2 linked regions of the Macaca fascicularis genome follow. The protein of the gene in region 1 interacts with the protein of each later gene in a pairwise test. Links are inferred from orthologs where the notes say so. Each region holds a gene or a part of one and is shown on either strand. Other genes may lie near its edges.

Evidence for each region. The genes of interacting proteins can lie anywhere in the genome.
Region 2: the proteins of NUDT18 (region 1) and NADK interact in a two-hybrid assay, tested with the Homo sapiens proteins (2 studies listed by BioGRID and IntAct). The two-hybrid records come from large-scale screens. The link is inferred for Macaca fascicularis from reciprocal best matches to the Homo sapiens genes NUDT18 and NADK.

The regions. Positions count from the first base shown.
Region 1 is NC_088382.1:25,178,478-25,184,334, forward strand, and holds NUDT18 (8-oxo-dGDP phosphatase NUDT18), read right to left. Parts: upstream 3,647-5,857; 5' UTR 3,525-3,646; coding exon 3,363-3,524; intron 2,577-3,362; coding exon 2,363-2,576; intron 2,128-2,362; coding exon 1,532-2,127; 3' UTR 1,110-1,531; downstream 1-1,109. UniProt on the Homo sapiens protein: Mediates the hydrolysis of oxidized nucleoside diphosphate derivatives. Hydrolyzes 8-oxo-7,8-dihydroguanine (8-oxo-Gua)-containing deoxyribo- and ribonucleoside diphosphates to the monophosphates. Hydrolyzes 8-oxo-dGDP and 8-oxo-GDP with the same efficiencies.
Region 2 is NC_088375.1:233,017,699-233,023,291, reverse strand, and holds the start of NADK (NAD kinase), read right to left. Parts: upstream 3,397-5,593; 5' UTR 3,270-3,396; intron 2,204-3,269; exon of another isoform or gene 2,137-2,203; intron 1,851-2,136; exon of another isoform or gene 1,670-1,850; intron 1,483-1,669; exon of another isoform or gene 1,339-1,482; intron 290-1,338; exon of another isoform or gene 195-289; intron 149-194; exon of another isoform or gene 1-148.

The sequences.
Region 1 (5,857 bases):
TCATTTCCTTTGATTTTCGCTTAAATGTTCTTTCTTTTCTCTTTCTTTTTTCTTTTGAGAGAGGGTCTTGCTCTCTCACCCAGACTGGAGTGCAGTGGCCTGATCATGGCTCACTGCAGCCTCCACCTTCTGGGCTCAAGAAATCCTCCTGCGTCAGCCTCCTGAGTAGCTGGGATTTACAGGTGTGCGCCACCTTGCCTGGGTTTTTTTGTTTGCTTGTTTTTTGTTTTTCTGTAGAGACAGGGCCTCACTATGTTGCCCAGGCTGGCTTCAAACTCTTGCCTTCAAGCGATCCTCTTGCCTTCAAGTGATCCTCCTGCCTCAGCCTCCCAAGGCACTGGGATTACAGGTGTGAGCCACCGTGCCTGGCCAAAGTTTTCTTTTTTTTTTGAGACAGTCTGCCCAGGCTGGAGCTCAGCTCACTGCAACCTCTGCTTCTGGGGTTCAAGCGATTCTCCTGCCTCAGCCTCCTAAGTATCTTGGATTACAGGCATCTGCCAACATGCCCGGCTAGTTTTTTGTATTTTTAGTAGAGACGGGGTTTTGCCATGTTGGCCAGGCTGGTCTCGAACTTCTGACCTCAAGTGATCCACCTGCATCAGCCTACCAAAAAGTGTTGGGATTACAGGCGTGAGCCACTGTGCCTGGCCACTTAAAAAAAAAAAAAAAAAAAAAAAACATTCCTACCATGATTCAGCCAGGCTGAGGGGAAATGAAAAAAAGGTTTGGTCTGGTGTGGGCTGAAGCTGTGAAAAGGCAGAGGCAGGAGAGCCGGGGGAGGGGTCTGTGCCAGGGAGGCTCAAGGAGAGAGCAGAGGCAGCACCTGCAGCCCGTCCCACGTGAAGTTCCTCTGGGGCCACCCGCTGCCCAACCCTTGGAGGACTCAGAGCTGTGTTTCATTAGGGATGGGTCCCCTCCGAGTCACATCCCGGGCCAGCAGGCCAGCTGGAAGGAGCCCCGGGGGCCATGCTGGACAGCAGACTGGCCCACACTGTCAGTGCACTGGGAAAGGCATGGGCAGCTGTGGGTAACACGATGGGAACAGCAGCTCTTGGACAGCAGTCCCCAACACTTGCTCCCCACAGAAACGTTTAGGCAGGGAGGCAAGGTAAGTAACACCTCTTTACTCAGCAAGGGGCTCCTCCCTCAGGACACCTTCCCCAGTGCCCCTCCAGGCTCCAAGAGCCTGGAAGGATCAGGATGCAGGCCTTTCCCAAGGAGGGCACAGAGCATGAGGAGGAGATGCCACTGGTGGTACAGAAAGCTCCCCATCCCCCTGGGGAGAGGTGTCAGTGTGCCCTCAGGGTTGTGAGGTCCTGAGCTTTGGACTCCTTGCTTGGTTAAAGGCACTGTCCCTTGTGCAATGTAGAGGAATGCTCCTCAAAGCATCTCTCCCGGGAACCAGGAGAGCCGCCCCTGCTCCCAATGCAACAAGATCCCTGATCGCCAGCTTCTTGCCTCCCTCAGAGAGAGACATGTCTGCACTGGAGGGAGCATGGCTGCCTAGCTCCTTGTCACCTCCTCCACCTCCCTATCTGTTCACTGGGACAACAGAGGATCCCTGAAGCCGCTTGAGGAGCTGGCTTTGCAGGTCTTCCTCAGTCACCTTCCACCAAAAGAAGTTCTCACCCCGAATCTTTGGGGGTTCATCCTGGATCCCTGGGCTCCGAAAAGCCACAGTCACCAGCACATTCAGACAGATACCATCACTGTGATCTCGGCCCAGGTGCTGCAGTCCAAGCAACCCCTTGATCTCCACCACCAAGTGGTGCAGGGTCAGACACTCCTGCAGCAGCCGCAGGATGGCCATCTTCATGCCACCCCTCTGCTCCACAGGGTCGAGGCCACAGGCAGTGACAGGCAAGTGAGGCATCCCCACTGTGCCCACCAGCACCCACACTGTCTGGGTGCTGGTAAAGGTGACCACAAGCCGCTGGCAGACCAGATCACAGGGTAGCTCTTGCGGCAGAATGAGAGGGTGCCTGGCTTGCTGGCGATACTGGGCAGCTAGCTCAACCAGGTGCAGGATGTCATGGGCTCGCAGCGGAGTGGGCAGGGAGCTCCGTGGGTACCAGGCAGCCTGCAGGGACTCTGCATCGGCCTCCTTGGAAGTCTTGAGAATTCCACCTGGGGGAAATGTGGGGGATGGGGCAGGGACAGGCTGTGTGGAGAGGAGTGCAGGTGTGGCAGTCACCAGACATCCCTGACCCAGAAGAGAGGCCCCCAGCCCAAAGGCTGGAATCTGCCCATGCCAGGCTGTGCCAGTCATAACAGGACTGGCTGTGGAGGGGCTCACTTCACCGAGGAGCTGGGGGAAAGGTGTCAACTGGCCCTGTTCACACTGCCTCCAGGTGGGCCATACCTGTGGGGTGAGCGAGGAACACGAAGCGGACCCAGGAGGGGCCCCGCTCCTCCACGGACAGCAGTGTCTCGGGCTCACAGTGCAGCCCCGCCTCCTCCTTCACCTCCCGCTGCAGCGCCTCCACGATGGTCTCCCCCGGCTCCATTCTCCCCGCAGGCAGGTACCACGACCCCCGGCACTCCCTCTTGGCCTCCTGGATCAGTAGCACCTCATCCTGAGGGGACAGAGGATCCTCACTTCCTGCCACAGCCTTCCCTCCCCGGGGACCAGGGGACACCTCAAACACAGTCGCCCGAGACTCCCCTCTGGGTGGACACCCTCAATCCGGCTAGCGCTCCAGTAGACCTGCCCTCGTGTAGCTGGGGGCTGCAGCCCTCTCCTCCCTGCAATTCGTCCCTCTCTGGATTTAGGAAGACTTCCATTTCAGGAAGGGCTGAGATTCGTGGAAGCTGCTTCAGGGGCTGGAGATGAGGCCCCAGAGTGAGGGTCACCATGTGTCTTGCACTGATTTGCGTCTGTACATGTCACTGTGTATCTCTCGCCTCCAACGGCGTGGTTTACAAACTGTGATGGGTCCTCACACTGGGATCTGGCTTTGAAACACGACCCCCCACCTCCACTCTGTACAACCCTGCCCTATGGCCCTGGCCCCTTCTAGTTGTCATTACATCGCCTACTACAGGGATCAGCACCAAAGGCCTAAGGGTAAACACGGATTGAGCCACTGCTACCCGGGGGACCCTGGGCATTCCGCTAGACTCTGGGGAAGGGAAGGAATGAGCCCTAGTGGGATGAGACAAACAGGTCCCGGGCCTCAGTTTCCTCTAATGCATATCGGGACGAACGCAGGACACAGATGCGAGTGGGAGTGGGAGTGCTTTGCAAAACTGGGGAGCGCCACGCACGCGGCAGCGCTGGCTGTGGCCGTTGGGTCTTCTGTCCCCACCTGGGCTGGCTGCGCGCTCCCGAGGCCCGGCGGGCCCGGCGGGCGGCCGCTCACCTGCTCGCTGAGGAACACGGCCAGCACCACGTAGCACACGTTCTTCCGCAGCCGCACGGGCACCGGCGGCTCCCCGGCCGGCGCCGAGTCGCAGCTCTGCACGCTCGGCCCCTGGCCCGCCAGCACGGCAGCCAGCGCTCCCGTCAGGCCCTCCGAGGCCATCGGGTCCCCCGGGGGGCGGCGGCCTGAGTACTCGCAGACTGGCTGAGCCGAGCCGCGGGCGAGCGTGGGCTCCTGCGCCCTCTCCCAGTCCCTGCGGCAGCAGGCCGGTCCCGCACGAGAACGCGGAAGCGCACGCGAACGCGGAAGCGCACGCGAGCCCTGGCCGCTGATAGGCTGCGCGGCGCCGCAGCCTGCCCGGATTGGCCGGCCCGCGGCAGTCTCCGAAGGGGCGGGGCCACCCGGGGCCGCCGGGCAACTGGGTGGGCGCCGGGCCAGCTCTGGAGGACCCCGCCCGGGTTCTGCCGCCTGTCAGTCCCGCGCGCTCAGGACGTCTCCCAGCCGCCCCCGACTCGCCTACTCCCCGAGCGCGCACTGGTCTGCGGGAGCTCCGACCGTGACGTCATCCTTCCTGCAGGGCGCGTTGCGCCGCAGGGGTAGGCGACTATGACGCGACAAGCCCGGTGACGTTACGGAGGCCCGGGGCCGCCCCTTGGACCCACTGCCCCGCTGTTGCCGTGAACACACGATGGCATTGCCGGAGTTGATCATCTCCCAAGTAACTTTCTTCTCACTCCATTCAAGAGTAATAAATGTCACGTGGCCTGTGGGGAGGGGGACATAAACCCCTGCCTTTAAGGAGATTCTGTTGTAGTTGGAGAGAGAGACGGAGTCCTAGATGAGGAGTCAGCTGAGGGTTCGAGACTAAGTGCTAAATGCTTGGTTTGGGCAGGAAGAGTGACAGGCGCTGGGAGGATGGAAGGGAAGGGCTGGGGATGGCGGGAAGAGTCGGGGGCTGAGAGAGGGCTGCCGTCAGCCGGCCCGTCCTCATCAGTGTCCCTCTGCCCACCGCATTTCCCACGCAGCTCAAGGCCCTCTCCGCTGCAGATGGTGCGCCCGGGGAGGGCGGGGGTGGGGCCCTGCTCCTCCATCCTTGTCGTCACCCTCCCACCTAGCGTGCAGGACCTGGCGCGTGGAGAGCAGGGTGGGGGTTGTTGTGGCGAGAGCCTGCTCCTCTCCCAGCTCTGCCTTTCCTCCTTCACCCGCCCCTCAGAACTGGAAGGCAAGGCCAGCTGGAAGGGATCTGCGAAGCAGGCCGTCTGGCTTCTCACCCGGCAGAGGCCACCCCTTTCTTCTCCCTCGGCTGGTTTTGTGTGCCTCCCTGCTTGATGGTGTGGACAAAGCTCAGGACCTGGAGCCAGATGGCCAGCCGCTGCTGGCTGGCTTGCTCTGTGCTCCTGGGTGAGCTGTGAGCCTCAATTTTCTTATTTGTAGAGTAGGGTCATAACAATTATTGTTTTACAGGGGTGTTGGGAAGGCACGACAATCGGAGAGGAGCTGTGTGGATTGTCCAGTACTGGGCACCGTCCCCAGGCAGCCCACCGACCCTCAGGAGTGGGCCCTCTCCACCACAGCACTTCTTGCTACAACACGCAAGGCCCACCCTCATGAAATGTGCCTTTTGTTACCCCCTAGAGACAGGATTTCACTCTGTTGCTCAGATTGGAGGTGCAGTGGCATGATCACAGATCCTACTACAGCCTTGATCTCTTGGGTTTAAGCTGTCCTCCTGCCCCAGACTCCTGAGTAGCTGGGGCTGCAGGTGTGCACCACCATGCCCGGCTAAATTTTTAATTTTTAATTTTTATTTCTTTGTAGAAACAAGGGTCTTGCTATATTGTCCAGGCTGGTCTTGAACTCCTGGCCTCACTGATCCTCCTGCCTTGGCCTCCCAAAGTTCTGTGGTTGCAGGCATGAGCCACCATGCCTGGTGAAATGTGCCTGTAGAGCTGCCTTAGAATTGGACTGAGGAACTTCAGCAACGCAGGATGTGTTTCTTTAGACTCCTCTCACCTGCTGATACCACAGGCTCCCTGGAGGCAGGGCCCCGTGTTAGGCTGTGGGATATCCCTACAAGGCCCATGAATTTTGAGGCACTTGCTGAATGCAGCTGGGCCAAGCCCTATCCTGGACCTCTCACCTCCCAAATAACTGCAGGCACGGGACCCCAGGACTGCAGAGCAACTTATCAACATATTTGCTCTGTGTGTGTGTGTGTGTGTGTGTGTGTGTGTGTCTTGTGCGTGCCCGCACATGTGTGAATCCCTCAGTTTTCCCACCTGTGAAGTGGGGGCAGGTTGGTCCCAGACTCCTGTCTGCCTCGCAGGGATGATTTGAGAGAGTGAGATCATGTCTGGGCAGGGCTCTGGGAGCTTCAGAGGCAGCCTAAGGTAAACAACAGAAAGCCTCACTGCCCAGAGAGCAGAGACCGCAGCAAACCATGGCTCCATGCCTCCCATTATCCCGGGGGGGAAAGCCCTCCCCAAAAGCCCCTT
Region 2 (5,593 bases), on another chromosome or scaffold:
AATCAGCTGGGCATGGTGGTGGGCGCCTATAATCCCAGCTACTTGGGAGGCTGAGGCAGCAGAATCGCTTGAACCCGGGAGGTGGAGGCTGCAGTGAGCCGAGATTGTGCCACTGCACTCCAGCCTGGGTGACAGAGCTAGACTCCGTCTGGAAAAAAAAACAAAACACAAAACTACTGGTCAAAGTGGCTCACCTCTGTAAGATCAGCACTTTGGGAAGTGGAGGCAGAAGGATATCTTGAGGCCAGGAGTTTGAGACCAGCCTGGACAACACAGTGAGACTCTATCTCTACAAAAATTGTATAAATCAGCTAGGTGTGGTGGTGCAGGCCTGTAATTCCAGCTACTCAGGAGGCTGAGGTGGGAGGATCAATTGAGCCCAGGAATTTGAGGTTACAGTGAGCTATAATCATGCCACTATAAACACGCCTGGGGGACACAGTGAGGCCCTGTTTCTAACACACACACACACATATACACACAGAAACACCTCGAGGGGACACCTCCAAATGATGAAGCTATTTTGTTGGGTACTGCGGTGGCACCTGTGATTCTTCAAGTAGCTTCGAACCAGCGTGCTAACGCCATGAAGTGGCTGCAAAAGTCCCCGTGAAGCCATTGCTGAGAACAAACAGGCCATACACGGAAGTTCCAAGCGGGCAAGAAATTTCCAGAGGCTTGGGAGGACAATGTTCAAGGGAATTTCAGTACTTGAAGGGAATTATCTAACAAGATGTTAAAGTAACTTACTTCTTAGACCAGATGACATAAGAAGGGGAAAAATAAAACTTATTAAGGCAAACATGCCAGTTTCAGGCCAACTAAGGCGGTCAGAGAGACGTGGAACACAGGAAGAGTTTTGAAATGTATTCCCGTCAAGAGCCAAGAATAATGAACTTTTGAATGTAAAACTTAGTGTGTTCCAAACAAGAAAGGAAAAATAACTTGTTACTCAGAATTGAAGCCAAAAGGAATTCCATTGCTTCGGGAGGAGGAATGGGAGGGCTGGGGTGGTCCTTGGCCTGGGAAGGAAAACTCCACCAGGCCTTGGGAGCTGGGCACGCCCTGTTCCCACAATTAAGAAAGAAAACGATGACCTAGAGCTCAAGGCCGGTGCTGACATCTGGGCTACTGGACGGCAGCCGCCTGTAGGAACATCACCATAGACTATTGGAATTTTCTGGCAAGTACTGGGCACTAAATCAAAGATGTGTTTATTTAGAGAATCCCACGCCAATACTGCTGTATAGAACCCTTTATTCCTACTTTCCCACTAGGTGTGGGCCCCTCTAAGCTTTCACGAGTCAAAGACCCCTCCTGCTTGCTGAAACCACTCACGGAAGGCGGACACCGAGGGCCTGGCCGCCCACGCAGCGGCGACCGACGAGCGCGGTCCGGGCTGGACGGCCCCACCTTCTCCGCCCGGGAGAGCCAGGCCGGACAGCGGCCTCCCTCAGACCCGTCCCCAAGGCCGAGCCTCGCCCTGGGCCGTGCTGGCGCCCCGTTCAGGACCGAGCGGCGGCCCGGCAGCGCTTCCACGGCGTCCTCCGCAGGCCAGATGGGCAGGGCCGGCCCGGTGTCTCCCCGCCCGGCCGCGCGCTCCCGGGCAGCGATGACCCCAGGCGGCGGGCGACCCCAGGCGGACGGCGGGCCGGGGCTGCTCACTCACCGTTCGCCGCCGCGGGCGCCTGCGGGGGCGTCTACATGCCGGACCGAACCCGCAGGCCCCGCCGCCCCGCCGCCGCCTGCCGTCGCTACCTGGCCCCGGGCGCCCCGGCCGCCCGTTGCCCCATGGCCGCCCGGACCCCGGCGCCGGCGCCGCCGACCAGCAACGCGGGCCGCGCCCGCCCAGTGCGCAGGCGCACCCTCCACGCACGCGCCCTGCCGCGCCGCCGCTCACGTGGGTCGTCCCGCGGGTCCGCCCGGTCCCACTCGCGCCGGGATACCCCGCGCGGGCGGGAGGCGGCGGACGTGGCGGGGAAGGGGCGGGCGGCGGGGAGGAGGGGCGAACCGCGGTGGAGAGCGGTGGCCCGGGAGCGGAGGCGGGCAGCGGGGACCGAGGCGGGCGTCCGCGACTCGGGCAGGCAGGGGTCGGCGCCCCGAGGAGGGCGGCCCGCGGCTCCCGTCCCCACTCACCTGCCGCGTCCGGAGGGCGCCTCCCGGTTCGCCCGTCACGTCTACGCCTAGGCTCCCCCGACCTTCTGACCCCAGCCCTTGGCCGGCGTCCCGCCCCCACTCACCGCCACCGCGGGCGGGACTTCCCGGACCACGTGGGCCGGCTCAGGGGAGCGCAGGTGCCCCGCGAGAGCCGGCCCCGCCCGCCGCTGATTCCCTAATTACTGGGCTGTGACACGGTGTGGACCGAGCCGGATTTGGGGACCGAGCCGGATTTGGGGACCGAATCTTGGAGCAGCTGCGGCAGCGCTGCGCTCCCTCGGGGCTGTCCGTCGAGGCGGGGAGGGCGGCCCTGCGCCTGGGGGAATCGCGCTTGGCCTCACGCCCACCTCTAGCGGCCGGGTGCGCCTTGCACGCCCACCACCGGCCTCGGGTGTGCGCCTGGGATCCCAAGGTTGGCAGTGCAGGGAGGCCCTGGTGGCCCGGGGTTCCTCGAGGGGTCCGGGAAGTGGTGTTTTTCGCACCCCACAGGCTGGAGGACCCGGGGAGTTGGGGGAGGTGGCCGAAGCCACAGGAGCGGACTTCGTAGTGTTTGTTGGAACCGCGGGCCCCACCCAGCCCGCACTTGCTGACCTGGTGGCTGCTCATCAGCGCCTTCAGGCCTCAGATATCCCAACAATGTGCCATGCGCCCAGTTCTCACTCAGCTCTGGAGTCACTGTCAGTAAACTGGCAATACACGACCAGCTGCTCTAACCTGCCGGCCCCCCTTTTGTTTTTCTGAGATAGGGTCTCATTCCGTCCCCCAGGCCGGAGTCCAGTGGGACTCACGGCTCACTGCAGCCTTGACCTCCCAGGTGCAAGCGATCCTCCCACCTCAGCTTCCCTAGTAGTTGGGACTACAGGTAGGTCCCGCCACACTCGGCCATTTTTTTTTTTTTGTAGATGTGAGGTTTTGCCATTTTGCCCAGGCTGGGTCTCAAACTTCACCTGCCTCGGCCTCCCAGAGTACTAGGATTATAGGCGTAAGCCACTGCACCTGGCCCAGCCATTGTTTTCTGAGGTTCAGTCCCTGTTTATATTCCTATGTGGATCACCTGACCCAGGGTCGGTGTGGACCTGAGTCCCCTGCAGTCCTTCCCCACACCCGCATACCTGCTCTCTGGTCAGGACTCCTGGGACCTGAATCCAGAGACCCGAAACACGGCCTGGCCGAGTCTTCCTGGAAAACACAGCTCTTCTGTCCAGTACCACAGTGAAGTACAGGGCACCAAGGGCGACTGGAAAGGGAAGCAAGGATCATGGGAACTTGGGGGATTTCTTAAGCTCTGTAACTTCTCCCCGGGTTATTTTGCAAACCCAACTGTTTTGAAGTGACCACCAGCCACACCCACAGAAGCGGCCTTGAGCTGCCTAGTTCTTTTTCTTTAGGGGGGAGAGGGGGGCGGATAAGATCATTAACATAATAATGCTTGAGCTGAGTTTTTGGATATGATCATTAGCATAATAATGCTTGATCTAGATGGCACACACACAAGCCAGGCACTGAGCCAGGCCTCGGTAGAATCTTCTAGAATAGAGGCAGTCACCCGCTTCTGCAGAGGCATCCAGTGACTGTCGTGGGCCCCAGGTCACACAGCAGGCGCCCTTCGCGTGTCCCACTGTGTAGGAGCTCCAGCAGCTGCCCCGTCTGTGGCATGGAAACCCTTTGTCTACCCTGGGCCTGGGCACTGCCTGCAGGAGAGCTTCCCCATTTCAGAGATGAGAAAACAAAACCAGGGCTGTGGTTTCCTTCAGCTGACAGGTTGTGCAATTTCTCAGGGCAGGCCCCAGATATGACCCTGAAGATTCAGGGGCCAAGACCTCACACCCACACCTCACCCCAGGCCTGACCGGCAATAACTAAGGCCAAAGCTGGGAAGGGCTGCTTAGGGCACCCGGAATGGTGCTAGAGGCAGTTTTGCTTGGGCTGAGATCAAAGGGAAGGGATGTCCCAGCAGCAGGAACCGAAGGGTCCAAGGCTGTCATGGGGGCTGGGGCAGGAGTAGAGGGTCCCTACCAGATGGTGCTCAGGAGGAGGGTCTGCCTCCAAGCGATTCAGGGTCAGGAAAGGCCCCCTCCTGCCTGACCAGGCCCCGGGGATGGGGCAGCAGTGCGTGGCATCCCCTGCCCTGACTTTCCTCAGCCCCAGAGCTGCCATTGCTCAAGGGGGCGGTGGACTCTTCACATAATTTTGCATTGCTTTTTGTATTCTTTAAGGATGGGTCCCATGTTGTTTACTTCAGAACCCCCAAAACCTGGACCCATCCTCTTGTGGGGGCCAGCAGGGATGGAATGGGTAGAGGGAGAAGGGGGAATGGAGGCCATGAGGGGTGGAGCAGGATGGACTGGGGTACAGGTCACTCCTGGGGAGGCTGAGGAGGGAGGGAAGTTGACTTCAGGTGGCCTGGCTCCAGTGAACCGGGTGAACGAAGTCTGCCCGGAATCCACAAGGGGAAGTGGCTGGGAGCCTGGGGAAAGGGTGGCTGAGAGGAACTGAGGCTCCCAGTGAAGGACATCAGTGTGGCAGGCTATCTGGTCATCTCATCCAGCCTCCAGCCAGCACCTGGCACAGACCCTGCCCAGGCTGAGAGCCAGGATAGGGGCATCTGTAGGGGCCAGTGTCTGGATCTGCTCACATGATAGTCTCCTGTTTGACCTGGTTTGGGGCGAGGGGCGACCTCTCTCCCAGGACACCAGGCACACTGAGGACTCAACAGTGGAAACAGAAGTCCATCAGGTGTTTGTTCACCTTCTAGGGGGGCAGACGGACTAGAAGCAGAATTGGTGGGGGGAGGCAGGGGTTGGGGTACAGTAGGGACAAGTGTTTCTCAGGCAGAGGCAGCCGCAAGACCCAGGGCCCTGAGGTGGTGAGAGCCCAGGGTGGGCGGGGATCATCAACAGTAACCACCTGGCATGACTAGGACTCTGACCTCACAAGATCCTTACCAAGCAGCGTGGTAGTTTTTTTTTGTTTTTTTTTGTTTTTTTTTTGAGACGAAGTCTCACTCTGTAGCTCAGGCTGAAGTGCAGTGGTGTGATCTCAGCTCACTGCAAGTTCCGCCTCCCAGGTTCCAGTGATTCTCCTGCCACAGGGTCCAGAGTAGCTGGAGTTAACAGGCGCACGCCACTGAACCCAGCTCATTTTTTGTATTTTTAGTAGACAGGGTTTCACCATGTTGGCCAGGCTGGTCTTGAACTCCTGATCTCAGGTAATCCGCCCACCTCGGCCTCCCAAAGTGCTGGGATTACAGGCGTGAGCCACCGCACCCAGCCACAGCCTGGTACGTTTATTGTCCACATTTTTCATGCGGGAGCCAGAGGCACAGAAAGGCCAAGTAACTTGCTCAAGGTCACCCAGCGAGGAAAGGTGGGGGAGGGGACAGGGCGAGGCCAGAGAGTAATGGGAGGGGCAGGGGCGGTCTTTCCCGGGTGCCCTC